Linked DNA regions of Astyanax mexicanus. The protein of the gene in region 2 interacts with the protein of the main gene of each other region in a biochemical or structural test. Links are inferred from orthologs where the notes say so. Each region holds a gene or a part of one and is shown on either strand. Other genes may lie near its edges.

The links.
Region 1: the proteins of spi1b (region 2) and irf8 form a complex in vitro, tested with the Homo sapiens proteins (3 studies listed by BioGRID). The link is inferred for Astyanax mexicanus from reciprocal best matches to the Homo sapiens genes SPI1 and IRF8.
Region 3: the proteins of spi1b (region 2) and irf1b form a complex in vitro, tested with the Homo sapiens proteins (2 studies listed by BioGRID). The link is inferred for Astyanax mexicanus from reciprocal best matches to the Homo sapiens genes SPI1 and IRF1.

What each region holds. Positions count from the first base shown.
Region 1 is NC_064416.1:12,909,775-12,919,910, forward strand, and holds the start of irf8 (interferon regulatory factor 8), read left to right. Parts: upstream 1-5,543; 5' UTR 5,544-5,721; intron 5,722-5,832; coding exon 5,833-6,000; intron 6,001-7,229; coding exon 7,230-7,413; intron 7,414-7,583; coding exon 7,584-7,687; intron 7,688-8,319; coding exon 8,320-8,428; intron 8,429-10,136. UniProt on the Homo sapiens protein: Transcription factor that specifically binds to the upstream regulatory region of type I interferon (IFN) and IFN-inducible MHC class I genes (the interferon consensus sequence (ICS)). Can both act as a transcriptional activator or repressor.
Region 2 is NC_064430.1:7,876,379-7,887,033, forward strand, and holds the start of spi1b (transcription factor PU.1b), read right to left. Parts: upstream 4,179-10,655; 5' UTR 3,776-4,178; coding exon 3,734-3,775; intron 2,550-3,733; coding exon 2,475-2,549; intron 2,340-2,474; coding exon 2,252-2,339; intron 1-2,251. UniProt on the Homo sapiens protein: Pioneer transcription factor, which controls hematopoietic cell fate by decompacting stem cell heterochromatin and allowing other transcription factors to enter otherwise inaccessible genomic sites.
Region 3 is NC_064424.1:38,522,555-38,533,437, reverse strand, and holds irf1b (interferon regulatory factor 1b), read right to left. Parts: upstream 4,644-10,883; 5' UTR 4,517-4,643; intron 4,005-4,516; 5' UTR 4,000-4,004; coding exon 3,913-3,999; intron 3,790-3,912; coding exon 3,690-3,789; intron 3,588-3,689; coding exon 3,376-3,587; intron 3,250-3,375; coding exon 3,129-3,249; intron 3,018-3,128; coding exon 2,901-3,017; intron 2,769-2,900; coding exon 2,740-2,768; intron 2,587-2,739; coding exon 2,454-2,586; intron 2,285-2,453; coding exon 2,151-2,284; 3' UTR 1,539-2,150; downstream 1-1,538. UniProt on the Homo sapiens protein: Transcriptional regulator which displays a remarkable functional diversity in the regulation of cellular responses.

The DNA.
Region 1 (10,136 bases), on a different chromosome or scaffold from region 2:
ATGAGTGTTTTATTGGTTTGTTTTGGTTTTCCCTTTTTGTGCACAAGGACGAGCGATTGAGAGACTGACTTGTTGTTTTTAAAGAAGCAATGGAACCCAGCCCTGTTGTTGAACCTAAAATGGTACAAGCTCTGTTGTCAGAGTACACTGTAAATTATTCACACCTTTATAGTACAGAAATTTGTACTTCTGTTCTGTGCAAATCTTATGTTATTAAACACTATTTATGAACCGTATTCATAAAAGAAAGGTTTCTTTTACTAATCCATGCATTTACTGCTTCTGTCTCTATAGTACTGGCTACCAACTCTAAAGCATCATAGGCTTTGTTCAGACTGCTAGCCCAAATCAGATTTTTGGCATATCTAGAATGTATTCAGGCAAGTAATCAGATCTAAAACACATTTGTAGAGGGTTTGAAATGTGAAATGTGATTACAATTGAATTGGATTCGGCAAATGTTAGTTACTGACGCAACCTCTTTACCACATGAACTCATGTGCAGAATTTTGTGATGTTCAGAAAAGCAAATCCTGTCAGATCACTTGCAAATAACAGTGCAGAGAGTCATCTCAATTATCTGATTTGAGAAACAAATCTGGCTTGCTTGCTGGCTTTCAGTATCTTTGTGCTGGGATGCATTTTTTAAAGAAACCCAAATGGCTCATTATAAAAATACTGTGCCTTTTGGCCCTAGTAAGTTTCAGACTATTCATCGTATTTATATGACTATTTTCCAGATTAATCACTTCATGGTGAGCTGCCTGGCAGGGTGGACAATTGCAAAAATTGGCATTTAATGAAATGTAGGTCAACGTTGTTGACCTAAAGTTTACATGTTTTAAAGATACATTTTGATTTTCCTTTGTGATATTTTACCATGGCAAGGTGAACACCTTAAGCTTTACTCAGCTAAATAAGTAGACAATAGGATAAATAAGTGAAATTAATATTTTTAAATGTTAACATGCAGTAAGTGTCTTCAGTCCATTGGTTTTGGGAAGAAAGGTACTGGGGCTTATGCTAACAATTGTTAAGTAATTACTTAATTCATATTTAGTTATGTGTGCATTGATGCTTAGCAGTATGTCACTAAAATGAAATATTACTGTCTTAAAGGTTTTTGCATTGTCCCAGGCTGGGTGAACAGGGAATTCTCAGACACTTAATATTTTTATAAAAATACCTAAATAAATATTTTAAATGTCCAAATTATATATAAAAGCATAAATAACCAAACAATTATTTAACTTAACCAGGCAACACTGAAAAAAAAACATACACAGAAAACTGTATAAAATGTACAACAATTTCTCTATTTATATTAATGTTGTTACTTTAGAGTAGATCTTAAAAGATTTTTACACAGAATTTTGGCCCAGGTGTTCGTAAACAAGGTGCGTGACATGTTTTATTCCTCAGACACTGTCCATAGGTCTACAACAGTGGTTCTCAAACTGCTAATCAAGGCCAGTCCACATTTTTGGTCAGTCTCCACATGTTATTGGTTGGGCCTAAACAGAACCATGGAAAGAACCAGGTCTTGGGGGACCTGAAGACCAGTTTGAGAAGACCCCGCACAGCTGAAATAGAGGAGCATTCTTTGCTTTTCATCATTACAGTGGATGCCATCCCCAGCTTCCCCCAGCTCACAAAGCCTGTATAAAAAAGAACACCTCCACCTCAGTGATGAACAAAACCTCAACCTGTGCTCACATCCTGAAACGAACCAAGTACATGTGACCTCCACTTTCCAAGATCCGCTTTTCTTGGTTTCCAGATGATATTTAACTTCCTGGCTACAGGTTAGACTTCAGGTTGGCATGAAAGATTAACTGTTTCAGAACATGATCACCTACAATCACACTGTTATATTCCATTACACATTGTAGACTTGGGCCTATATCGGCACTACAGCCATTTTTTTGTTTGTTTCCAGAAAATGATTAGGCCTTTTCCTGGATTCGGCCTGTCACGATAACCAACATTTTTTGGATAATGTCCCAGAATTAAATGCAATAAACTATAGAAATTTCATCTATGACCATTTAGTGCCACAGAATTATATAACAGTATAATATCATAATAATGAATGCATTCATTTTAAAGAACAGTAAGTATATAATTTTGTTTTGAACATTATCAACAAACCAGGACATTCAGGTTAATGGTCTCTTCTCATTAAGTAACCACAAAATGGATTATATTGAGGTCAGCTAAATTCATTGAGGTTATGTGCATATATTGTATGGAAAGTCATAACATAATTATTGTGACAGGTCTATCATGGACCATGTTTTGCTTATAATAATATAAAAATATTATTTAAATCAATGAATGTAGTCCAAAACTAGGCTTAATTCCTGTCTAGAAAACCAACACTAGATGTCCAGAAGTTTTTAGACTAGGCCTAAATTACCTTTTTCTGACGATATGTTGTCCAAGAAATAATGAGATAAACAATACATTGTCATTTATGATCATTTAGTGCCAATTATATAAGGATATCATGATATAATAGGATATTATTGCATTTACACATTACTTTTAAGGGGCAGTGAACTTTATTCATCCGTTATTATACCCTAAATAAAAAACATAAAATAAAACCACTGTTTAATCTAAGTCAACAAACAATGACATTGTTTAAATGGGATCTTCTCAGTAAGTCAGCACAATAATTAATATTGATTTTAGAAAAATGTATTGTAATGTATAAAATGTAATAAAATATCTCTATATTGTTGATAGTGTAATTATTGTGAAACCAATCCTGGACAATATTAAGCTTGTAGTGGAGAATCTTCATTCAAAATAATTTATGTAGTCCTACACTAGGCTTGATTCCTGTCTGGAAAATAAACACTACATGTTTTTTTTTTTTTTTCGATAATATTATAATGTCCCAGAAATTACTGCGATAAACAATATTATTTTCATTTAAAATTCATTTACTGTCACTTAAATTCATATTATAATATAACTGCATATTAATGTATTTACACATTGCTTTTAAAAAGCAGTGAACTTTTTATTATTGAGAATATTTACATTTTGGAATTTGAATGTGAACATGCTTAAATCTCCTAAATAGGTAAAGCAAACATAAAATAAATCCACTGAGCTTTATTGAGGCCAGCAAAAACGATTGAGATCATGTCCATTTAACGTAGGATAAGGTGATAATATAATTATATTAAAACAGGCCTAACCTGAACTATTATTCACTTATTCCCCATTCAAAATGATGAATGCAGTTCGAGACATGGCTTTAAACCTGTCAGAGAAACCAATAATATCTCCATAGGTTTGTGGGCACTTGTTTCTCCTATGTTTCTTCTGTAATCAACAGTTTAAAACAAAGTTTATTCCCCTTTAAAGCAATGACAGCCTCCACACTCTGAGACGTGTGGCTGGTTTAAGTAGTGGGTAACATCACCACCTTACCTGTGGTAGACTGGGGTTCAGTTTCCTGGCTGGGAAATATCACCCCTGATGTGCACGACTCCCACACAACACTGCATTCACCAACCTGTGTAAAATGACTCACATGTATTTCACTCATTCAAATGCTGTAAATAAATGTCTTCTGGGAAGGCTTTACTGTACAAGTGAGCACATTGTTGTGATTATTTGATTGCATTCAGCCAGTCCTCATTTTAAATTCATTCACTCATACAGCCCAAATATTTAAATAAATACATACAATTAAATTAAGCCTATAGGGGCAGTTTCTTATACAGAAATGAACCTAGTCTAAGCCTAAACCTAGTAAACAGCATTTTGAATGGAGATTGGAAAGTCATATAGCTGTTGTCCAGTGATTTTTTTTTTTCTATTATAGCTGCTTGGTACACTGTGTAAATAATAATATGTAAGTATCCATAGACAGATTTAAATGCTCATATTTTAGCCTACATGGAATAGCCTCTTTTTTTACTGACGTTTATTTAAAGATGTGTGCCTTTTCATGTAAAATCACCATTTTGGAGATTTTGTGGGTGTTGTTATTGGACAGTGATGGTAATCAGGAAAAGTTTTTCCTTTATCCGCTCTAAGGAATGTGGAATAGATGCATTGTCAGTTAATAACGTGTAATATATTTTTGTGATGCAAAAATTGCTGGCCAAAACTGAAACCAAACAAAATTAAACATTGGCATTTATAGCATTTATTTTCACCATTGCATATACTGTAATCTAAAATATATATTTTTCTCATTTTTTAGATAGAAAGAAATTACAAAACTACATTTTTTCTCTTTTGTTTAAGTTAATTTGTACAAATGTACACATTTTGTATAATTTCTGGTTCCTGACTGGACCTGAAGAGCTTAAATGGCAAAAAAAATTGACCAGTAGTGTATGTTTATTAATTTCCATTCCATTCATCATGAAATGACAATATTATGTAAAGAACAACTTGCAGATTCACATTATGTATATAAAATGACATCTGGTTTAAATAATGTATCATGACATTAAACATTAGGGATGTGGCATATAGTATTATACACAATAATATGGATCATTATAGTATGAAACAATACAAAACATCTATATGACTATAAGTAATATAGATAGTATTTGTTTTTGCTATTTGCTTTGAAGTGTTGACTATATAATTTTGTTTGTTTATGTAGACTATAGACTATATAATTGTTTGTAATCATGTTACATTAAATGTTTTGTTTGTTTTCACCTCTTTTTAGTTCATATTTACAAATGTATACATTTTGTATTTTGTCTGGTTAGGCCTGTCACAATAATTACATTATCGACTTATCAAACACTAAATGCACACTACCTTAGTAATATTTGATAATTGTGATATTATCTGTTGTGTTTATTTGAATATTTGTTTACATATATATAGCAGAGAACAGTATTTTAGCTAATAATGCTGTAAAAATATCTTCAATAACTGCAACTCCATGCACACGGTGTGGACTGCAGTAGGTAAAGAAAAGAGTATAAATTTCCCAAAGTTTGATTATTTGAAATTTTGTTGTATTTAAAATGGTATAAATGCTTTGTATGAATGTCATAATATATATCGTCCACAAAAAATGCTATCATGACAGGCCTATGTCTGGTTATTGACTGGATCTGAAGAGCTTAATTGGTAAAAATAAAGTGGAAAAATGGGGGTTATCCAAAAAGTTTTACTGGCAGTGTATATTATTTATTTATGTATTTATAATTTTCATACTTCTGTTTCTATTTTATTTTTTTATTATTTCATTTTACCCTGTTTTCAGTTATCAGAGCATGTCACAGCTATTTAAGTGAAATAACCTTTATTTAATTGGATTATTTAGCTGTGAATTGATTCTGAAGGTAAAATAAAGGTGCTGTGAATATTTACAGTAAAGGTTTTTAAATGAGAGAGTAAATCAGCTGGATCCAGAGGCTGGTTAGATGAGTACATGCTGAAGGTTGTAAAGTCCCTTTTCCATGGAAGTGAAGCCCACCCCAGCCGCCTGAGAACCTCCGACTGAGGGAAAGGCGATTTCTTGTAAATGCCTCCGCTTCTAAGAAGTTTTCCGTGCTGGAGGCGTCACGTCGGTGGGCGTGTTTTGATTGGATGCGGGGGAGCGGGGGCGTGGCCACGAGCTCCATTCACACAAAATGAACAGACATACTTTCTTTCCCCCAAAATAAATCTCCTCAGATCTTCAGATCAGCAGTCAGTGCAGAGCATAGTGATCACTGAGCCGAGGTGAGTAACCCAGAGCAGAGCTGCAGAAGAGCGGAACTACAGATATTATTGAGTAGTATTGAGTATTCAGTGCGTCACTTATTGAATCCTGTGTTTTGAATGGGTTTAAAGATGAATCCAGGAGGGCGCAGACTGAAGCAGTGGCTGATCGAGCAGATCAACAGTAATATTTACTCTGGGCTTCTGTGGGAAGATGAGTATCACACCATGTTCAGAATACCGTGGAAACACGCTGGAAAGCAGGACTACAACCAAGAGGTGGATGCGTCCATTTTCAAAGTAAGCATCTCTCTTTATTAAAACAAAAATGTATTTTTCTCATTTGTGGATTTTAGATATCACTTTATTTATACTATAGAGAAATTCACACGCTGCAGCCACACAGAAAGCACAGAATATAATACAAAAATAGCTTAAAATATATAATAAAGACAAAGAAATGTCATATAAAGTTTGCAATAAATTATCCTATATAATTTTTATGCAGTATTAAATGTTTTAAATTGTGTTCAACACAATCCAAACATTGTTTTAAAGTTCAATTTAATTCCTATAGACCACTAAAAAAATAATGAGTTTACCAAATTAAAATCTCTGGAATATAATCAAGAGGAAGGTGGATGATCACAAGCCTTCAAACTAAGCTGAACTGCTTGAATTTTTGCACCAGGAGTAAAGGCATAAAGTTATCCAAAAGCAGTGTATAAGATTGGTGGAGGAGAACATGCCAAGATGCATAAAAACTTTTAAAACACAATGAATATGAACTTGTTTTCTTTGATTTATTTGAGGTATGAAAGCTCTGCATCTTATTTGTTATTTCAGCTCTGGAACCTCTCAGAATGCAGCTCATGCTGGCTGCTTAAGCACACACTACTGCCATCTGGTGGTGTTTAAGTGCACTGCAGATAGCAGACGGACTAGTTTACATATAAATAGTTCAGTGGAAGAAAAGACTGCAGCAGTAAAATCCAGTTATGAAGAAGTATTTTAACAACACCTAGGAACTGATCTCTACTAATATCTTATTTATTTATGCATTGAATCAATGTGCATATAATCCTTTATAGACCTTTCTATATATGTTAATGCATGTGTGCAGTAAGTGCACCCTCTTTTAAATAGAATTTAAATAGAATTGTAGTGTTGTGAATATGCCAACATCAGCATTTGTAGAGTGATTTAAAGTAATGCACATTATATTATTCAATTAAAGCATCAACAATCAGAGAATACACAAACAAGATTTTTTTCTGTACCTTACGAAAAAGTCAGCAGATTTGTATTGTAGTTAATATGGTTACAGAATAATCCACCCTATTGGAGATGTTAATGGACTAATTACAATAAAACTGCATAAAAAGTGTTGTAGGCCTTTTGTATGCATGTGACATTTAAACACATTGTGCTAATTACATTATTTGCAGTTAGTTTACTTTTATATAATTTATTACAACAATATCATAACTATATATATATATACATATTTAATACCTTGGTTCCTCTAGGCTTGGGCGGTGTTTAAGGGAAAATTTAAAGAGGGAGACAAAGCTGAACCGGCTACATGGAAGACCCGGCTGAGATGTGCTCTGAACAAGAGCCCCGATTTTGAGGAGGTGACAGAACGCTCACAGCTGGACATCTCAGAGCCCTACAAAGTGTACAGGATTGTCCCCGAGGAGGAGCAGAAGTGTAAGTGTGTGTTTGAGACTTTTCTTCATATTTAAGCTACAGAAAAGTTCACTGTGTTCACTCATATGAGCCTAATGCATCTTTCTAGTGGAGTAAAATTAATTAGAGCTTAGAGGCTTTTAGGTAATATCTGTTTTGACCAAAGATAACATAATTATGTCTTTCTACAGTGTGTAAAAGTGCCACCACTACCTTGAACATGAGCTGCCCACCTGAAGGGTCTGAGATGGAGTGCAGTCAAGCAAATACAGACCTAGACAGACTCATTAAAGAGGTGAGAGCTTTAGTCCAATTTCTGTAATGGAATTGGCATTAACAATACCACTATTTTAAAATAGCAGCTATACAGGAGAAGGAAAATACATGTAAAACATTTTTATGTCATGTTTTTAAACAATTTTCGAGAATTTCTATTGGTCAATTCATCATGAAATTAAAATATCATGTATAGAACAGCTTCCACATTTACAATATATATATATGAAATGGAAATACAAGGTGCATGCTCAGTCATCTGGTTTAAATACTGTATCATGACTTAATTAATTAGGGATGTACCATATACTTTTATACACAATAATATCATAATTTTTTTTATAAATATAAAAAAATATATAAGACAATAGTAATAGATTTGCAATTTGCTGTAAAGTGTTGACTATATAATTTTGTATAATTGTTTGTTTGCAGTTTATAAGCATGTTGCATTAAATGGTTTGTTTGTTACATTTGTTAACATTGGCAACAATATATTTTGTCTTATTACCAAGAGCATTATTACAGCAAAATATTCTAAAACATTGTGATATTTGTTTAGGTCCATATCACCCACCCCTAATAAATATATTACTACATTACTATATAGTTCTGCACTGAACTGAACAGCCATTCTTTTAATATGTGCAGACACCAAGCGACGAATACATGAGCATTATCAAGAGGAGCCATTCTCCAATAGATGAGAACAGCAACCTGCAGTCCCCGCAGGAGTGGTGGCACCAGGGCTCGCCCAGCGGTAAGACCATTATGCTCTGACCAAAACACCCTTACTGACATATACACTGCGTGGGAAAACGGGAACAAACTACCACAGACAGTACAGTTTAATACGAGCAATCTAACTCCCTTTTTTCCTATAATTTAAAGTGCTGCCTAAAGTTCTGATGCATTTTCTTTGTTAATGGACCTGTAAAGCCGCCGTCAGCAGGTTTCATTGTTACTCAGTTGTGTGAAAGGCATGGTACTGGTCTACTTAAATAAGAGCTAAAAAAGCTTGTGTTCAGTTTTGCATGCTAAGGGAGACAGATTGGCTAATTTCCGTTAGAACGTTGCTGACTTAGCTTCTGTCTTTGTTGGTCCCATGAGCATTGGCTAGAAGAGCTGAATAAGATTTTGCTGCATGAAATTATGTGTTAAGGGTCACATTTTTTTAAATGCGGAAAGTGGAAATCTACTTCTATGTTTCTGAGTAACCACAATAAGTCACCCAGCAAATACTTTACATTAATACTAACTAAATCCTTCAGTATCTACTCTGAATTATTCAGTAACTACTATACATTATTAGTTTTCTCCTATGTATTGATAGTAACTACTAGAAATTATGAGCAGCTACATTACATTGTACAGTATCTACTGTAAATTATTAATAGCTACGAATAATTTGTAACTGTTTATTCAGTATTATTCAGTAACTACTATATGTTTTAGTAGAAACTTTCAATTATGCAGTTTCTACTATAAATGTACTAAATATACTATTATAAATTGTAAGTACTCTAAATTAAGAGCGGGCACACTACGAGCAGGCACACTACGAGAGCAAACAGGAACTGAAGCTACACCAGACTGCGCTTTTTACTCCATTTTAACTGCAGCTACGCTGTAAGAGCAACAGCAAACGCGCTTTTCAGGGCGCTTTTTCGGACAAGGCTGAGCGATTCTCACTTGAGCGGGGCGTGGCAAACCCCCTCATTCACACATTCTCTGTCTACACACCTCAGGGGCGTTACTCACGCTTTAAAAGACAGCCTGGTGGAGCTGATTTCCTATATCGCCCGCACCTGCGCGCAAATTCAGACTCCTATATCGTCACTCACACTCGCCGAGGCGTCAGCTGTTGTGTGAAGACCCTCTCGTGTGAAGACCTAACTCGGGTAAAGACCTGCGAGTCTACCTGCGCGAGTCCACCGAGCAAGGCCACTGACAAGGCAGCCCGTCCTACTGCCTCACAAAATGTGCTCCCATCACATACCTGTCATCTCCGGTACGCACAGAAGGCGTAAAAACACACATAGGCGCCAGGACCATACTAACCTGCGTCCTCTTAAGCAAGCCACGCCCACTACTACCTCATTCTCTGTTGGGCTGTGGAACTGCCAGTCGGCGGTTAATAAAGCAGATTTCATCGCCTCTTATGCAAATCATCTCTCACTACAACTACTGGCTCTGACTGAAACCTGGATTAAACCTGAAAACACTGCTACTCCGGCGGCACTTTCAAATAATTATTCCTTTACCCATACTTCTCGTCTCTCAGGACGAGGAGGTGGAACTGTCCTATTGCTCGCGAATGGCTTAAAATACACTCCACTATTACCTGCAAACTCATACAACTCGTTCGAGTATCATGCCACACTGGTTAATACTCCATCAAAACTTACTGTCGTTGTCATCTACCGTCCTCCTGGATAAATGGGCGAGTTCACGCATGAACTTGACAT
Region 2 (10,655 bases):
AACCGTTAGTTCATTCTACCAAAAATGTGTTAAAATGGGCCTCCGAGGGTGTCAGAATGCTAAGCTATTTTGGAGAGGCTCTTATTTATTGTGTGTGTAAAAAAAAAAAATAATAATGGATGGAGGCATTTTGAAAACAAAAGGCTTGAAAGCTAATTTTAAATATATATACTTACCTATACATTACTTTATTATATACATATAACATACAGTACTGTGCAAATTTTAAGTAAAGAAAAAGCTTAAAAGCTTCTTATCTGGGCAGTAAGTGTTTATTAGCTCAGTAAAACACTAGCAGTAAAACACTAGCAGTAAAACACTAGCAGTAAAACAATAGCAGTAAAACAATAGCAGTAAAACACTAAGTAAAACAATAGCAGTAAAACACTAAGTAAAACAATAGTAGTAAAACAATAGCAGTAAAACACTGGCAGTTAAACAATAGCAGTAAAACACAAGCAGTAAAACACTAAGTAAAACAATAGCAGTAAAACACTAAGTAAAACAATAGTAGTAAAACAATAGCAGTAAAACACTAAGTAAAACAATAGTAGTAAAACAATAGCAGTAAAACACTAACAGTAAACACTAGCAGTAAAACACTGGCAGTTAAACAATAGCAGTAAAACACAAGCAGAAAAACACTAAGTAAAACACTAGCAGTAAAACAATAGCAGTAAAACAATAGCAGTAAAACAAAGGCAGTAAAACACTAGCAGAAAACACTAGCAGAAAACACTAAGTAAAACACTAACAGTAAACACTAGCAGTAAAACACTAAGTAAAACACTAACAGTAAACACTAGCAGTAAAACAATAGCAGTAAAACAATAGCAGTAAACACTAGCAGTAAAACAATAGCAGTAAAACAATATCAGTAAACACTAGCAGTAAAACAATAGCAGTAAACACTAGCAGTAAAACACTTGCAGTAAAACAATAGCAGTAAAACAATAGCAGTAAACACTAGCAGTAAAACACTAGCAGTAAACACTAGCAGTAAACACTAGCAGTAAAACACTAGCAGTAAAACACTAACAGTAAACACTAGCAGTAAAACACTAGCAGTAAAACACTAACAGTAAACACTAGCAGTAAAACACTAGCAGTAAAACACTAGCAGTAAAACACTAACAGTAAACACTAGCAGTAAAACACTAACAGTAAACACTAGCAGTAAAACACTAAGTAAAACACTAACAGTAAACACTAGCAGTAAAACACTAGCAGTAAAACACTAACAGTAAACACTAGCAGTAAAACACTAAGTAAAACACTAACAGTAAACACTAGCAGTAAAACACTAAGTAAAACACTAACAGTAAACACTAGCAGTAAAACACTAGCAGTCATAATCTGCCATAATCTGCTCCGCCTCCACTCAATATGCATTTTTTTTTTTTCTGGAGCGTTTTGCTTGTGGCAAGAACGTGATCCGGTCTTGATCTGACCCAGCAATTAAATATTCTTTTTTCTTTATTAATTGAGCTAAACTAATGATTAGGCGCAGTTTAATCTGATATGTTATATATTATATATTATATATTATCTGATCAGGTAATATACAGCTATGAACAAATGCTGTCTCTGCTGCTCCATGCTGTTTACACACTAAGAGCACGGCATGTGCAGCGTTCAGTGTTTAAAAGCGCAGCAGCACCTTTTTAGCATTCTGTATTAAAGCAGCTTCACTCTGCACAGATATACCATGCAAGCACATCGTCTCCTCTGATTGGTCATATAGATACAATAGATACAAACAGCTAATTTACAAAAAGCAGAGTTTTTACAGCACTGTTTTCCTTAAAACATCTCCTAATCTCTCCTCATCTGAGTTTAATAGAGTTATTTCTAGTTCTCATCATATCAACACCTGGTTTGGTAAATCAAATCTTTAACATCTTACTGATGTTAAATCAGGTGAGCTGCTGACGGAACTGAACATATCATATGCTGGCTTGTCTGAGGGAATCCAGGAGAAATGTGGAACTAAACTTTGTTCTAAAGCTTGGCTCACAGGATATAACCTACTTAGGTAAAAATGAGAAATTCCTGTTACTTTTTAATGTATTATGTTTATTTGCATCTGTTTAAATCACATATAGTGCTTTTTTCAGGCAAAAACACTCAATTAGTGTACTTTTACACAGTACTGTACATATATAAAATTACATTGGGAGTTGACCCACAAGTGCAGTAAAAAACAGAGCTAATATAAAGCTAAAATAATAAAAAAAAAGCAGCTTCTTACCACTTTGGCCACTCTCTCCATCGATTATGTACGGATACTCCATCGGCGGTCGATAGATGTCCGTCTCATAGATCAGCTCTTCCGTCGGCTGCAGGGTGAAAGTGGGAAAAGATCGTTTTTGACCACTCAGAACGCAAAACACCAAAGCAAAGCCCCAAAGTTTCAATGCAGAAATATGAATGCAGTATATATTTATGAGCAGGATGAGAAACACGAGCCTCACATCTTTGTTTACAAGGGCCCAGTAATCTTTAAATTCAGAAGGTGTCTGTGACATCCAGCCAGTCCGGGTTATTTTCTATTACACACAGAAATTATAGTTCAGTAATTCAGTAATTTCTGTGAACAGTTCTTTATTTTTACATCCTTAAAAAATTATATATGTAAGGGTGCCACAAATGGTTTCTTGAGGGATGCCATAAATAAAAGAACCACTTTTGTCTTCAGAAAGTCAGTTTTTGTTATAAGAAATCTTTACAAGAGTGTGAACATGTTCTTTTTTATGATTTTTTAAAAATATTTTTTTTTATATTTAAAGCCCACATCCATTTTTTACGAACTATCCTTTTTTATTATTATTATTATTATTGTTATTATTATTATTATTATTATTTCTCAATGTAAACTAAAGTGGTTCTTTTGTGGCATTGCTTATTAAGCCCTTTGTAGCACCTTTAAAAAAAAAAAGTTTTTTTTAGTAGAAAAGATTGGATAAATGATTGGCTGTAATATGTTAGTTGATATATTAGTTGAATTTGTTACGAATGATTGATTGACATTGGTTGCTCGATAATGTTAATAACATTAGATTTTTAAGACATTTTAAGGTTGAAATTTGATTTCATTTAACAACATATACATATATACACGACAAGAGATTGATCACATCAAGTCATCTACAGTGGATGAGATCAGAATAGATCAGAAGAAATTGTATATTTTTTGACATATATGTGGAAATTAATCAAATGCAAAAAGTTGAAAAGTTACTGTTGTTTAAATGGAAAAGATTAGCAAGCAAACTATATACTTCACAACTGCAAGTACAAGTACAATACACATATACATATACATATATGGATAAGATCAGAATAGATCAGAAGAAATTTTATATTTTTTGACATATATGTGGAAATGAATCAAATGCAAAAAAAAACTTGAAAAGTTACTGTTGTTTAAATGGCAAAGATTAGCAACAAAACTATACACTGCACAACTGCAAGTACAAGTACAATACACATATACATACACATATATATTGCATTTTTAAACTGTAATTATTTAGCATTAAAATGGCTACACAGGCTTAAGGCCACTGTTAGGAACGGCTAAACCCTGTCATCACTTTGACTATAGCTAGTTCAAAACCCAATCTCATCAATTTCAAATTTCTACTGCGATAACTCAACACAACGCAACATCACACACACACACACTTCACCACGCGCTCACACACTCTTAGGAAAGATGGGGAATACTCACAGGTGGGATGATGTACCCCTCCATTCTGTACGAAGGCAACATATGGGGTCTTCTCGGCTTCGCTCTAGCTCTAGCTCTTCGCGCTAACCCTCTCAATGGCTTTCAAAACTGTCCCCGAGCCATTGCACAACTAAATTTCCTCTTACCAAATGAAACCAAAGATCTCGGACGCCGCTCGCATGCACACTCGCACACACACACACCCGCAAACACCTTATCCAGTGGGGGCCACACTGCTGCTTTCCAGGGCCCTTGAAATCAACAGAAAGCGGCTAAAGATACAGTCAGAGCAAGTAGCAAGTTAGCCTAACAGCAAGCGTGACCAAAAAGGACAGGGCTTTCTGTTTGTTACTTCTTTATTTTTGGGTATGTGTGTGTGTGTGTGTGTGAGTGTGTGTGAGAGAGAGCCTGCTGCTGGTTCCTGATTTTAGGGTGATGTCAGGTGGGGATTATAACTACTCAGTTCGAACAGACGCAGTGTGTCACCTCCCCCAATAGCCAATCAAGAGGCAGCTCAGCCAACACGCTTCTTCCTGTCCACCTCCATGCTGCCTGCCATTCGGCGAGCTTTAACGTAGGATGAAGGAATAATTGGTGCCACTTTAGAAGACTTTGGGGGTCGTCTAATTGGCCCGTTTTGCTGGCCGTCCCTAAACGGACCAATATACCCCAACATTCTCCAATGTTGGGCTGTTTTAATGGTTTAAAATGGATTTAAATGGATTTAAAGAAGTAGATTTAAAGAAGTGGATTTAAGGGTCAATTTCAGTATATATCAATATATCTTCCCTGTGTCTGCAGTATAGTTTACAGTTTACGTTTTATACAAACAATGTTATTATAATTTTTAATATTATATATTATTTATAACTTCCTATAAAAAAAGACCGAACGTTTGCTTGGTGTGCATTTTTTTATGTATTATATCTATGTGGAATCAGTAGGACCGAACAAGTATAAAAACGAAACTTTGTTTTGTACAGAAAGTCATTTTTTTTGCAAATCACATTGCCCTAGTAGGTAGAGAATAGTTTATTTTAACATTTAAAAATGATCCTTGCAATTTGGGATGAGAAGACCCCAATTAGTACAAAAACCCAGTATCTTATTTTTAATCAATCGAGAGTACTGTTGCATGCGACCACCAGATGGTACAGGCAGTGTCTCCATATAAGGACAAAGGGTTGACGTTTTAACAAATGTAGAATAATGATACAGAAATGCAGAAATGTAGTGTCCTCAAAAGAGGACAAAGGGTCTTAAGTGGTTTATTCTAATGGACAACAGCTCTCAAATAATGCTAATAGTGTTATGGGCAACAAAATATTTAAAAATAAAGAAAATACATGATGTCCATTGTGATGTATGCAGAGTCTGAAAGGGATAAATATATATATATATATACTACATTGGTATTAATATTAAAGATTTAAAAACTATGAAGGTACACATATGCAGTTAGTTACTTCACATACACCCGGCATAAAAACCTAACTCAGGATTTTTGGGATGAGTTAGAGCTCAGCATTTCTAAAACTCCTTTGAGACAGTTGTAGAACCATTCCAGGTTTTACTTAATGACTTAATTACTGACTGAGATAATCAGACAGGATGTGCAAAACTGGCCTTTGAGCAAAAGGTGCTACTTTTAAAGAAGGTGCTAAAGAATCTAAAGTATAAACATATTTTGGCTTGTTTAACTTTTTGTTTTTTTATAAGTACATATGCATTTCTTTATAGTTTATATATGTATATAAATATATACATTATTTAAAAAATGTAAAAAAAAAAAATAGTAAATGAGAAGGTATGTACTGTGTACATATGTGTTGTTTTATTGTAACTCTTTTAATTAAGTGTGGCAGAAAAAAAATTATAATATGAGGAAGTTGTTTAAAGATTTAAAGAAGTGAATTGTTTCCTATTGAGCTATTTAAACGTATGTGAAACAAATCTGGAAGATTTTGCCTGAAAGGTAAAAAAAAAACTAAGCTCATCCAAATATATCCTTCTTATATATTTAATAAAATGTGTGTCATAGCAATCTGCACAACAGGGTGGGCAATTTTAGTGAAAACTGACGTTTGATGAAAACAAGGTTGACCTGAATTGATTATAGTGAGCTTGTTTAGATTTAAAAAAATACATTTAGATTTTCTTAAATACCTTAGCTTTACCTCTTTACGCTAAGTATGGATAAGATAAAATAAAAATATTACTTAAATATTCACTATTTACTGTATACCTGTTTACAACTGATGCTCTCAAACAAATTAAGAGACAAGAAATTCAAGTAATTAACTCTTGACGAGTTCAGCACAGCTGTTAACTGAAAGCCTGAATTCCAGGTAACTCTACCTCATAAAGCTGACTGAGAAAATCCAGCAGATATGTGTAAAACTGTCTCTATCTAAGCAAGAGGAATACTTTGAAGAATCTAAAATATAAAACATATTCTGGTTTGTTTGAACACTTTCTTGCTAACTGAATAATTCCACATATATTCTTTCATAGTTTGGATGACTGTAGTATTGATCTACAATGCAGATTCAAAGTTTAGAATAATGAAAAAACACTGTATTGAAGGTGTGTCTAATCTGTGACTGAAATTTTACCTTTTAAACCTTATTTAACCTGTTAAAAGTATCTGTAGACATGGCAAAAAAGCCCACCCGCCCCCAAGTTTAAAAGAAACTCTATACAATGCTGTACAAAAAAGTGCTTCAAAATGATGGCAAACATTACATACCTACTATATATGTAAGACTGTGTTCATTCAGATTGAATACTGATCAATTTCCCGGGTGAAAAGGAAGTATATAGTTAAGAACACCGAAAGTATGATCAAATTAGGTAAAGAATACTAAAAGTAAATTTATATATTTAATATATTTTATGAAAATACAAATTAAATTAAACTTTTTCTGTATTTCCATAAAAAGTATTTTTAAGCAGTAGGCTTTAAATTATATGTTGTGTTGATAGAAAATATATGTAGTGGCATTAACCCTCCTATTATCTGTGGGGTAAATTTGACCCCATTTAGTGTTTAAAGTCTCTAAAAAAAAGGTTGACATTAGTTTTGTCATTTATATTCATTGTCTTTTCTTAATTTAATGAAGACAATTAACGAAAAACAAAATGTTTCAAATGTTTCAACTTTAATGTATTTTTTATTAAGGCTGTTTTATTGACATAAAACATAAGAAATATCTAAGAAATATTTGACACATTTTTGTGTGGTAATAATGTTAAGATCACTATGACATTCCATTTTAGAATCTTTTTCTAAATGCCCCTTTACTTTAGGCCCTGATTTAACAAAACATTACTTATAATACTTACATAATACTAATAAAACACAATAATGCCAGAACAGATTATATTTTTAAAAATAAACATAAAGTAACTGATGAGTAAACTTTGCTAACATGTTTAATGATCTGTAATTATGATATTTTTCTGAAGGTTTAAATTGCTGGGATCATATTGACCAGATAATAAATGGTGTTTGTAAATTTGAGGATAGCAGGAGGGTTAAATACTATTTTAAAGTGCACTTATTTATGTGAATAAGTACATTTAATTTATTTCTCAAATTATATATATATATAAGATAGTTTGAGCCAGTTTTTTTAGATTACGTCCAAATTTCCTGTTGAATTGACCTATAAAACTGCTTGAACAAGAATAAAATGAATTAAGTCATTGTACACTGAATAATTTTTCTTTTTGAGTTTATAAAATGTTTTGTATGACAGCAACAAAGTTATTGTAATAATATATTATTGTTAAACAAAAAAAAGAAATGGCAAAAATATACCAAATATATTAAATATTGCATTAATTGCATTAAAAAATAAAGCTCCATTTCATGCACTTATTTTCATTTCCAAAATGCACTTGTAGAATTCATTTTAAACTCTTTGTTTTGAGTTAAACTGTAGTTAGTGAACTCAGAGCTCTCTCTCTCTTGGCTGCAGACGATGAGTTATCTGAGAGATAAGGTAGTTGGTGAGACTGTCTCGTATCAGTTATAATCTTCTGGAGCAGTTTCACCAAGACAAGAAGTGACAGTAGATAGCAGGTCTATATGTAACTCTGGCTGATTTAATCAAACGGCTGTGGTAAAGATACTTAGGAAGAATGTCGTCGGTGTCAGACAAAAACCTTGTATCTCAAAAATGGCAACTTTACAGTAGAAATAGCCTTTTTTTTACACTGAAAATCACAATGAAAAGAATTGGTAGATTCTGTCAAAAAGGGGGAAAAGGCAAAAATGGAGATACATGATAAAATGCATTTAATGCAAATAATTCTGGCTAAAATAGTATAGAGGAGGATTCTCTTCAGGCCTGACTGAAGGTCTAGGACTAGGTTTAATCCCTGTCTGGAAAACTGCTTAGCAGGTTTACTTCATATCAGTTTAAAGCAAAAAATCATCTGAAGGCATGTATCACTTAGGAATTTTTGGAAAGCTTGGCAGCACTAATTAATTGTTTTATAAATGATCCTTTATAAAGCATTACTACACTACTTTATAGTAGCTGATCATCCTCTTAGGTGAATAAAACTCTAAAATATAAAAAATCTAAAAAATGCTCTGAACCAAAGAACATAATACTTTAATAATGGTCAAAAATGAGTTTTTTTTTATACTGTACATTCCATGTATAAATGTATAATTAATAGGTTATCAAACATCAAAGTCTTTCAACTGATTTAATCAAATGGCTGAGGTAAAAAATACTTAGGAAGCATATCGCCAGTCTCAGACAAAAAACCTTGTATCTCAAAAATAGCAACTTTACAGTAGATTCTCTAGTAGATTCTGTCAAAAAGAGAAAATTGGCAAAAATTGAGATACAAGGTCCTGTATAGCAAGAATCACATTGTGCAGCATACTGTACAAACTGAACTGCATTTAAATGTATTGAAAATGCCCCAGTATATTGTTTTCTCCATATCAGTTTAAAGCAGAAATTCATCTGAAAGCATTAATAACTGCCAAGCCCCCAAATGTCCTTTAGCCTTCTTATATTAAAATGTAGCCCATAGAAAATGTTGCAGACTATTGTGGTTTCTTTCATAGTAAGTGATGAATGCATGTAACGTACATTAAGTATTCACAGCACATGTAATTAATTACATTTTAATTTAACTCAAAAACGGCAACTTTACAGTAGAAATAGCCTTCTTTATGCTGGAAGTCACAATGAAAAGCACTGGTATATAGTACAGAGGAGGATTCTGTTCAGGCATGACTGAAGGTCTAGGACTAGTTTACTTCACATCAGTTTAAAGCAAAAATTCATCTGAAGGCATGTATGACTTCTAGGAATTTTTGGAAAGCTTGGCAGCACTAATGAATTGTTTTATAAATGATCCTTTATAAAGCATTGCTACACTACTTCATAGTAGCTCATCATCTTATCCTCTTAGGTAATTTAACTCTGGAAAACCTGAAAAATGGTCTGAAACGAAGAACATAATACTTTAATAATGGTCAAAAAATATTTTTTTATACTGTACATTCCATGTATAAATGTATAATTAACATTAAAATCACACATCAAACTCTTTCAACTGATTTAATCAAATGGCTGAGGTAAAAAATACTTAGGAAGCATATCGCCAGTCTCAGACAAAAAACCTTGTATCTCAAAAATAGCAACTTTACAGTAGAAATAACTAGTAGATTCTGTCAAAAAGAGTACTTTAGTCTTCTTATATTAAAATGTAGCCCATAGAAAATGTTGCAGACTATTGTGGTTTCTTTCATAGCAAGTGATGAATGCATGTAACTTACATTAAGTATTCACAGCACATGTAATTAATTACATTTTAAGAGGAGGTGATTCTGATTCTGTTCAGGCCTGACTGAAGGTCTAGGACTAGGTTTAATCCCTGTCTGGAAAACTGCCTCAGCATGTTTACTTCATATCAGTTTAAAGCAAAAAATCCATCTGCAGGTATCCTTTATAAAGCATTATTACAGTTCCTCACAGTAGCTACCTCAACTGATGTAATCAAATAGCTGTGGTAAAGATACTTAGGAAGCATATCGTCAGTGTCACCCCTTGGCCCTACTCCTTGTTTTCGAATGAAAACCTTGCCCTTGGAACAAAGTTAAAAGGACAAAGGGTGAAATAATATAAAGTTTTTACAAGCATGAACACTGCTGCAGACTGTGTGTGTGTGTGTGTGTGTGTGTGTGTGTGTGTGTGTGTGTGTGTGTGTGTGTGTGTGTGTGTGCGTGCACATGTTTTGAGGTTTTTGCATATCAAAAGTATGTCTCAGCAGGCGAGCCTGCATCACGAGCTCAGCAAATCTGATGAATGGTGAAAAACTTGTGAATGTTAAGCAACATTATAAACAAGTATAGAGAGAAATAATGCTTATGATTAAAAAATAACAACAAAAACAAACTATCTAGCAAAATCTGATCTGATCATGAGTATAAGAACAGCTGATGTTTTGATGTTTTAAATAGAAAAGTTTCTCACCACTGTCAGGCCTCTCAGAGAACCATGTAAGAACAATAATAAATAAAATATTCTACTCACACTGATTGCCCCTTTTTATTCTCTATCCTCTCGCTTCAAAACAGCAATATTTCTGTATCAACCATGTGTATACATCTCAAAAAAAATTAAAAAAAATTTAAAGAGAACACTTCAGTTTCTGAATCAGTTTCTCTGATTTTGCTATTTATATGTTTATGTTTGAGTGAAATTAATATTGTTGTTTTATTCTATAAACTACGGACAACATTTATCCCAAAAATATTCTCATTTAGAGCATTCATTTGCAGAAAATGAGTTCTTAAACCTCAAATAATACAAAGAAAACAAGTTCATATTCATAAAGTTTTAAGAGTTCATAAATCAATATTTGGTGGAATAACCCTGTTTTTTAATCA
Region 3 (10,883 bases), on a different chromosome or scaffold from region 2:
TTCTGTACTACTTATTTATTATTTATATACTCTAATTAATTCATTATCACTGTAATTCTTTAACACCACAGGCTATCCATTATCAAACTAAAACTTCCAAGTACCACTACAGGTCATTGAAATGAAACATGAATGTGCCACACACACACTTATACAGTAGGCTAGATGGAGCATTTATTTTGCCAGCAGTTCTGCCACTTGTGTGGAATTTGTCCACTTTTGTCATTTGCAGGCTAGCATAGTAAAATAATCATTATTGTTGGTGAGTACAGTAAACATTCTGTGATATCCTGGAAAGCCTAAGACAGAGGAACATGACAGGATTGCAGTTTAGTGAACTACAGAGTCTACATGACATCCCATTAAATCCTAGATGAATTATTCAGCTATTATTCTATTATATGGTTAATCATACCTTGTTGAATTCCACAGGGGACAATTACAAGGCTGTAGTTATGAATAAATGTGTTTGTAAAAAAGTATAGACTGATATATGTACTATGTTCTTAAAGCAAACAAATCTAATGTTGTAAAAATGGAAAACTTCATGGATTTCTATCATGAATAATTTCATCAGCAAATGTTCTAATGTAATCTGGGATACACCTTGGTATGCTTTATGTACCACCACTTTTCACAATCTGAAAACAACTAATCATTAACATTTTACATCCTTTGCAACAGTTAACATTTTTACATCCTAAGATTAGAGTGGGGTAAAAATGCATAATATTAATAGCATTTTATGCAAATTTAGGCATCTTAAAAAACAATGCATTTAGCATACACATATACCTACAGTACTCTGATATATGGTATATATGTGTAGGTTTAAAAAAACATAAGAATGTATTAAATTCAGTGGTGTGCAGTAAGGCCCTTCTAATCCTTCAGAGAAGGGGTGACAATAGGTGCATGTAAATCACTACATAATATTTCATCAGGAAATATATATTATAGTTATTGTAAACTATAAGCATATATTTTATGATTAATTAAAATAAAAAACAGCAACTAATTCCTAGCATTAGTCTGCGTTTTTTCAGTTGCTACAGGACTCTTATCTGACTGACAGCAGTTCTAACCAATCAAAACTGCTTTTTAAGATGGCTTCTGCCCCCACATGTCTGCATCACCCTTCTGCTGATTTTTTGAAGAGTGTAGTAATGAGTATATTAGGAAAGTTGCAGGACAATTCAACCAATCAGATTCATGATTGGACGGGGGACGTGTTGCAGAAGGGGTACCCACTATATTAACTGCATGCCACTGATTAAATTCCATTATAGCTAATACATATTGTCACATATTAACATAAATAACAGATATGTCAACGATCAATTGTCTAGCTTCAAATTAGGGCAAGCATATTTCAGCCATATTTTAAAAAATACATACATACATGTGTTAATATAACAAAACATCTCAAATTGAACAAACGTTATGCTATACTTCATGCCAATAGATTTCTGTTACATGTAAAGCTTTAAGATTGGCACTAATGTAACTGTGTGCAAGCATGAGAAATCACAAGAAAGTTTATTTTTCATGTTTTTATTAAAAAATATATACACTATATACACATATGGTTTAAAGACCTTTCACCCAAAACACAAGAGCTTATTGTAGTCTATTATCTTGTAAAGTTTGCATAAAAACAAATATGCTCTTAACCCTGAATGTGTAAATAACGGAACCTGTCAAATGTCACATTAAATGAGATTAAATTTGGATATGTATGTACAAGCTACAAATCTTGAAAGCCAAGTAAGGAATAGTAGCTACTACAACAACACAGCAAAAGCACTGAAAACTAGCACTGATTTTTACATTTTGTATGTGGGATTCTGTTTACATCTTTACAGCTACTAAAAAGTGTTGGGTTGTTTTGTGACAATGAGCTACAGTACAACTGTGAGTAACCTCAGTGAAGTCCATCCTAGCGTAACTGAAGTAAGAGTCTCTTTCAAGGAAAACATCAGACGTGCGAGATGATGGGTCTGTTGCCGTCCTGCAGGTTTTAGGATACGGGCTCTTTTGAGAAAGGCTTTGGGTGATTTAAGTTCATGGTTGAGGATAGAAAAATGTCTCCAGGTGGAGAATGTGAGGTCAGATGCAGAAAGTTCACACAGAGTTTCTGTCAGTGTCTCTCAGAGAGGACAACTGATCTGTGGGAAGCTGTTGGTGTGCTGGTTGCTGTTCCACAGTTCTGTGTAGCTTAGCATGTCATCACTGGGAAAGCCTGAGCTCAGTTCTGTGTAAAATCGCAGCTCTATCTCCTCACCTGCAGGAATACAAGATGTTTCACATTAGTCTTGGAAGCTCATTCAAACACAATGTGGTGATCTATCTGATCTCATTAGACTAAGGCCTCCTAGTGAGTTACTTTCATTAAATCACCAAAAATCTTATCTGAACGTGTGCTGGTAGACAACACATAATGCCTTATTTACCTGAATTATCACTCCACTGGCTCTCTGGACTGTGGAAAGATTCTGCCATGCCTACTTCATTGCACAGGAACCCCTTTCCACTGCTATTGCTTTGTAGCCACTGCGTGCTATCAAGTTCCAATTGCCGTGTAATCTGCAGGAGCAAAACAGAAAATTTGTAAGCGCTCGCCAATTTTACAAATGCCTGGAAACAGGCCTTTGGATGAATTACAAAACAAGGGTATTCCTGACAATGAAAAAGCACAATGGACAGACGAATTTGACATAGAACCAAAGCCAGACTCACCTCAACAATAGCTTGGTTTTCCTCGTAGTCTGTGAATGGCAAAAAAAAACACATGGAATAAATATGAGAATATGACCAGTCATCATTTGATAGGACTGTAAAAACAATTAAATGTTTTTTATTTTTATATACATAAGAAATAATATAAATACTTATGTTACCTGTTGAGTGAACTGGTGAAACTTGAAACCTGCTGGTGTAGTCGTTTGTGCTGTCAGGGCCAATTTCCACTTCATAGCCGGAGCAGTCCGGCACCTCAAAACTGGAGGGAGCGGTGCCTTAAGAGAAGAATGTCCACATTTAATAGGGGGCTCTCATCTATCATAGAAGACATTTAATATAGCCGTAGATATTACAAATTAAAGAGGGTTTGCCTCTGAGGAGCTTACTTAGATTCTCAGTGCTGTCGATGGTGTTCTCCTGAGTGATGGTGTCCTCCTGCTTGCTGTAAGTTGTCTCTCCTGTCGATGATTCATCTATGTTCATTGTCTCCTGCTTCACTTTCGGTGCCTGAGGAGGTAAATAGTGCATGTGAGTTTAAATTTTACTGCCCCAGTGCTTGCTTTAATTGCTTTGTTATTGTTTGTTAGCCTGGTGCCATTACTGCACCTTGCCACCATGGCGCCAACGCCTCACCTTTCTCCTCCTCCTGCCATCCAGGGTTCCTGACAACCGCTTGCCTTTGTTCTTCATAACGTGCAGCATGCGGTAAACCCGGACAGCCTCGCAACCTTTGTTGATGCTTTTGTCTTTCACCTCCTCGATGTCTGGCAGGGAGTTCATGGCACAACGGAAATTGGCTTTCCAGGTTTTGGGATCGGGTTCGGTCACCCCCTCCTTAAACTTGCCTGCAGGCGAGGAACATATTCAGGTTAACAAATAAAGATCTTGCCAACAAGGTTCAAGGTCCTTTTATAGCTATTATATTCTTGCCAGCAGTGGCACCTCACCTGTGTGAATGGCCCACTGTTTGAACAAACAAGCGTCTTTGTCCACTTCCCAGCCGTGACGGGCAGCGTGCTTCCAAGGAATGGAGAACATTTTCTGATCCTGAAGAAAACAAAAACAATGCCATGAGAGGAATACTGTACATGATACTAAGCTCACGAGGGTTTAGGCAGTGACTAGTCTTAAATATCAACAAAAGCACTTGAAATCTCCTAAATATTCTACCTTGTCCACCCAAACGAGTCCAGCGATGGTGTTGGAGTCAATCTTATCCTCCAGCCAGGGTCGCATGCGCATTCTGGACACGGGCATGATTCCTGCAAAAGTCCAGACAGGAACTTGAGTTCAACTTTTTACAATGCCTTGCATGCTTAGCTTATCATGCACAGCAGATCTGGCAGTAACAATGGCAGTAATAATCAGGGAACAGGGAAACACAGTCTCTGTAAATATTTCTATCCTTAAGATATTAAATTACTAATGTATATTGGTAATAACTCAATGCAAACAGCTAGTACTTTACTATGGGATTCCGTTAAAAACACACAGTCACAAACTGTGCAGCCTCAAGTTCCAAACAGCCTACGCTGTGAGAGTGAGTGTACTCCTGCACGCACACGCCCCTTTTCCGGGGTAGCATGTACAGTATAGTGAAATCGAGCCTGCTACAGATACAGAGCAGCTGCAGCAGCACAAGGGCAAGCTGTATATATGTACGTGTGTGTGTGTGTGTGTGTGTGTGTAAGAGATCTATATTAGCTATAAAACACTTTTCTAAAATAAAACAATAAAAACAGCCATTTAAAAATAAAAAAACATTCAGACTCACCTCGTATTTAATCCGATTTATAACGGAGAAGAATGTTGAGTGATAATGTGTTGATAATCCGAGTTCAGCCTGAACTTCTTCTCTCAGTGGAGATAGGAGTGCTTTGCTGGGAGCTCGCGGTGCGCTCTTCTTTTATACACAGTAGAGAGGGGGGGGGGGGGGCTTTCCCAACGTAATGTTTTGGCAGCGCGGCGCGCATGCGCAGTTCCACTACCATGCAGGCGCTCTCAGACTGAAGCAGCATGATTTCCGAGAAATCACGCTGTTAAAAGCTACACAGCTCGAGAAGTTTAGGGGGTGATGATGTTTGGGCTTGGCTGCATCTTACCCTTACCACCACACAAGCGCACGCGCCGGCACGTAAACAGCACATGCACGCGCATATTTCTGAAAATTTTAGCCCATATAAACACCCGTCTTTTTTGTCTCTTTCGCGTAAAAAAAAAATCTCCCAAAACTGCAACTTTACAGGAGATGCAAAAAAAAACATTTTTAATAAATTCAGTTTAAAACTATACATATATTTTTTTCAGTCCATTTCAGCATAAAATTTGTAAAGAACTTTAAAGAACAACTGCAACTTCACATTATGTCACATGAAAAGCCCTGCTTTATTTACATGTAACTTATATGCAACATAACTGATGCTTATTTATATGTTTATTATGTGTGATTCATATTTTATGTATATATGCGTTCCATATATGAATATTATTTTGGCAGCAAGCAATTAACATATAATTCATAAAAGTATCTAATTTCGCATAAATACTAATCTCATTTTGATCTAATTGATATTAGTGCTGAAGTGTTGAATGAAGTGTGTATGCTGTCTGTAGAGAAGGGTAGAATCAGGTCAGATAAAGAAAGCAGCGGCTTTCCGGGAAATGGTGCAGATTTTTACAGAGCCGATAGAGGGCGCATCTGCGCTGCTTCACTGATCTGAGGGGAGTTTTTACAGTAAAGCGGCCTGTTTATTAGAAACGGATGTTTGGACGACCGGCATTTAGAGAACGCAGCCTGACCCCAACCCTACACACTTTCTACAGCTTACACACGCATATACCTTTCATTATTATTATTATTATTATTATTATTATTATTATTATTATTATTGTTGTTGTTGTTGTTGTTGTTATTATTATTATTTCAAAAATATATTATATAAATGATGTACTGTGTAAATCTCCTCAAAAATAGTAAAAAAAAAAGCTTAGAATTAGCATTCTCCAGTTCAGCACAGCAAACAGACGCTGTTCGAAATAAATTTTAAAATGAATATTAAAACCCCATGGTAAAGTCGATTTATCACGGGGGTGTCAGTGAATCTGTGTGTGTGTGTGTGTGTGTGTGTGTGTGTGTGTGTGTGTGTGTGTGTGTGTGTGTGTGTGTGTGAGACAGTAGCCCCGGGCGGTGGGGCGTGGTCAGGGCTGAGGGAGGGGCGGGGCTTTCCTGTGGGATTTCTGTTCTGTAAAGCACTGGGTTTTCCCAGAGCGCAGCCAGCGATATTCCCCACGAAATCCCACTCCAAACTACAGACCAGCTCAGCGGATATTAAGACCATGTTGTACTTTGTCATTACATGTCGCGGAGTTTCTAAAAACGTATATTAACAAAATAAACAATGGAACCCACTGACACTGCTGATAAAAAGTCAGATTTTTTTAAATATTAAAAGTTGAATATATAGAATTCCCTTATGTGCAATATACTTATGTCATATATTTTATTTAATATATTTTAAAATGTGACACATGCCGATGTAATGTAATTGTCCATTTTCAAATACGAAACACATATTTTAGCTATAAATCAAAATATACAATACTAAGTACCAGTACCAAAAGTTTGGATACGCCTCTTCTCATTCAATGTGTTTTCTTATACAATGTTATTTTAATATTTACGACATTAGCTATAAAGGAACACATATGGAATTATTTAGTAAAAAAAAAATCGTTAAAACAGAATATGTTTTATACGTTAGATTCTTCTAAGTGGCACATTTGTCTTTGAGGACAGATCCGCACATTCTTGGTATTTTAATCTCAGTGTCTTCATGAGGTAGAGTTACCTGGCACACAAGAACAGTAGCTGCTTCTCTTCCTTCACGCTGTTTTAATGTATTTTATAATAATCAATGTACAATGCTGCTATAGGAATAAAGTACATTTAACAATATGAGTCAGAAATTCATCAGTTATTCAAAAACCTCGAAAATAATATTCAGTTGGAGTAAATTTGGAGCATTTTGATTGATCCATTAATTGTAAAGATATTGATAAGCACGGTGCTTACACGACAGTAAGGCAAACTATTTAATTATCAATATATTGTTGTGTAATATACAGTATTGTCGATATTTATTCATATATTCATATTCATATATTCATAATGGTAAAAATAAGTTATTTAATTTCGCGTTTTCGTATATAACTTATTGTATACCTAATTTATACTTTAAAATTACAATGTGTAGTTTTAAAAGACATCTATTAGATCTAGATAAGGTTTGAAAGACTGCCTGACACACAAACACACACAGATAGACAGACAGGCGCACATACACAAACTCAAAGCACTCACACTCATATGTATCCCCCTGTATAAAGGGAGGGGCAGCTTTGGCCACAAGCGGCTTGTGTATGAGCACGTGCTCCAAATCTGCAGCCTGCCATCTGCTTCCACAGCCTCGCGCTATTGGATTGAGCATAAAGCCGCGGGAGTTGCGTCATCAGCCGGTCCGTCCCCTAACAAATACCTCCCACCACCCCCACTCCGCTCACAGGCCCCTCCCCCATACCCCCAGTCCGCACACAGACTCCTCCCCCACACCCCCACCCTGCTCACAGGCTCCTCCCCCACATCCCCACTTTGCTCATAGGCTCCTTCCTCCAAACCGGCAAACCTGCACTCCACTCACAGGCTCCCCCCCCACATCCCCAATCCGCTCACAGGCCCCTCCCCCACACCCCCAGTCCGCTCACAGACTCCTCCACCACACCCCCACCTTGCTCACAGGCTCCTCCTCCACACCCCCACTCCGGTCACAGGCTCCTTCCTCCAAACTTTCACTCCACTCACAGGCTCCTCCCCCTCATCCCCACTCCGCTCACAGGCCCCTCCCCCACACCCCCACCTTGCTCACAGGCTCCTCCCCCACAACCCTTACTCCGGTCACAGGCTCCTTCCCCTAAACTTCCACTCCGCTCACAGGCTCCTTCCCTACACCCTCAGTCCGCTCACAGGCTCCTTCCCCACACCCCCCTCCCCTGCGCTCACAGGCTCTTCTCCCACACCCCCACTCCACTCACAGGCTCATCTCTTGTAGACTTTAGATTCTCTGCCCAAGCCCCCATTTTTCCCCACCACTTTCCTTTGGCCCTGTCAGTTTTAACCATAGACTGTGTATAGCTGGACAGAGCATCATCTCTCAAAAGTGAAGCCACCACAGGTCGGGCGCCCCCTGCTGTTCGGTTTCAGAAAGCTGTGTAACTCCACCCATTCCCATAGGTTTCAATGGAAAAACAGACAACTTTCAATCACGTTTTTTTTCTAATATATTGTAATTATACCTCCATTATTTAAATGCAACAGCTAGTGTAACCTCTGCTTATATTGTCAATTTTTTTATCCCCACAGAATTCGTTTTTTAAAACGTTAGCTCTATTCAAAAAGGTGTGGTTATTGTAAAAGGCCTGGTTATGGGTGGGACCAATAACCTGTGACCAGGGTGGGGTTATTCAAATGAGTAGGAGCTCTCCACAGTCTTTCTCCCTACTCTGGTCTCTACTGCGCAGACTCGGGTTTCAGGATCGGGTTTCAGGATCGCAAACATGGCTGAAGATTTTGGCTTCATTTTCATTGAATGAATGAGAACGGTACGGAGCCCGGGAGGGGCCGTGGATAAAAAAAATAATAAAATCGAGTGAACGATGTAGCAGTTCGTGCTCACGTTTTCTTTAATTCGAGTGAACGATTTGCAATTCGTGCTCACGATTTCTTTAATTCGTGCTCACGATTTCTGTAATTCGTGCGCACGATTTCTGTAATTCGAGTGAACGATTTCTGTAATTCGTGCTCACGTTTTTATGCGCAATAAGACAAGAAGCTCGGAGGGAAAGGAGCATTTTCTCTCTTGATCTGTTACAGGGGTGCAGTAATGATAATCAGTTATCTACCTTTATAACCTGCTGTTATTAATGCACTAGTGTTACAGTTAGATGTACAGTACAGTGAGCAGATTTTGCCTGGTGGTGGAATCTCTACAGCGCGTGGGGGAGAGCCGTCCGCGGCATCGGTTCCCCCGCCGCCAGACACCTGCCGCGCGCGCAGGTCTTCACGGAGCTTATTTACCAACAATGTAGACAAATACAGTCAATTCCAGTCATGAATAAAGGAAACAAACATTTTACTGATGCAGGACAACTGTGTGTTATTAAAACCAGATCAAAACAAAGTTATAATGCAATGTGCAAATGTGTTTATTAATTTCTAAATAACATTCAGCCAGCCTCCAAGGAAATGCACACCTTCTTAAATCTGGTTACATCATTATTACTTTTATGATAGATTTAATCTATATTTTAATAATTTGTATAATAAATAAACACATAATTCAGAAAATATACATTTAAGAAGTTTATAATTATTATATTTTTTTTATTTGAAGCTTGTGGCATGTTTCTGGGCAGGACACTGTGATTTGAGAATAAGCAGATATTCAGGACATTTCATCAGATATAGAAACTTAATTATTTTAGGAAACATATTGAAATAAATTATCAAATTGATCCAAATTATTATATGAAATGCCTATTTACTAAATATCTTAATACATTGTATTAATAGTATTTTAGACCAGCTATTTTGATTTTATATAGTGTTACATATTTAAAGCAGCTCTTATATGAGCCATTCATAGACAACTGTCACACCTTGCATTAATTTTGTATTATCTTTATTAACTTTTACAGTGTACATTTGGACCTAAGTCTTATAGCTGTATATTTATATAATTATACTTCTTTACGTTATACTATTGTTGAAAATAAGAAATTATAAACAGTTCCACATTGCATTATAACTTTGTTTTGATCTGGTTTTAATAACACACAGTTATCCTGCATTAGTAATGTTTGTTTCCTTTTATCATGACTGGAATTGACTGTATTTGTCTACATTGTTGGTAAATAAGCTCCGTGAAGACCTGCGCGCGCGGCAGGTGTCTGGCGGCGGGGGAACCGATGCCGCGGACGGCTCTCCCCCACGCGCTGTAGAGATTCCACCACCAGGCAAAATCTGCTCACTGTACTGTACATCTAACTGTAACACTAGTGCATTAATAACAGCAGGTTATAAAGGTAGATAACTGATTATCATTACTGCACCCCTGTAACAGATCAAGAGAGAAAATGCTCCTTTCCCTCCGAGCTTCTTGTCTTATTGCGCATAAAAACGTGAGCACGAATTACAGAAATCGTTCACTCGAATTACAGAAATCGTGCGCACGAATTACAGAAATCGTGAGCACGAATTAAAGAAATCGTGAGCACGAATTGCAAATCGTTCACTCGAATTAAAGAAAACGTGAGCACGAACTGCTACATCGTTCACTCGATTTAATTGTTTTTTTTATCCACGGCCCCTCCCGGGCTCCGTAGAACGGTGACACGGCGTCCATCTTTTTTTACAGTCTCTGGTTTTAACACTCTACTTACAAAAAAGTGGGATTTAAATCGGGCTTGTCCTCATAATGACAGTTTGTAGGACGGGACCGGACAGAAAGTTCATAGGTTCGATTAAAGTCAGGCTGGATTTTTTTGGACCTAAATTTAGCTCTAATTGCTTGTCATGGGCTTTGTTGGTTTTTGTCTCCAAACATGCCCACCACTATTCCCTTAGTCCATTTCCACACCCTCCCTGGTTTGCCATTTATAGATAGAAAAATAGTGTGCTGCAATCATGGATGAAAGCATAACAAACTGTTTTAGCAGAAGTTGAACACAGCCTGTAAAGCTGCATAAAATGCAAGTAAATATGATGATGGAGTAGGAATGGAGATTGAGTGATGGAGATGGAGTTTAGAGCTCAGATAAACCCGGAAGACAGAGCCACAACTAGGTAATTTATTACAACCACTAGTGTAGTGTAGGCCTTTTTATTTATTTCAACATTTTAGTGCTCGAATTCATACTTGTCATTGCTTGTCACTTTGTCCTCAATCTGGCAACCCATGAAAGCTTTGTGTCTAGGTTATCGAGGCGGCTAGTGTGTGAGATATCTGGATATAGAGATCTATACTAGGCTGGCAAAGGCCGTCATGCAGTCACAGCAGAGTAGAAGATGAGTGCCAGCTGTTTACTAC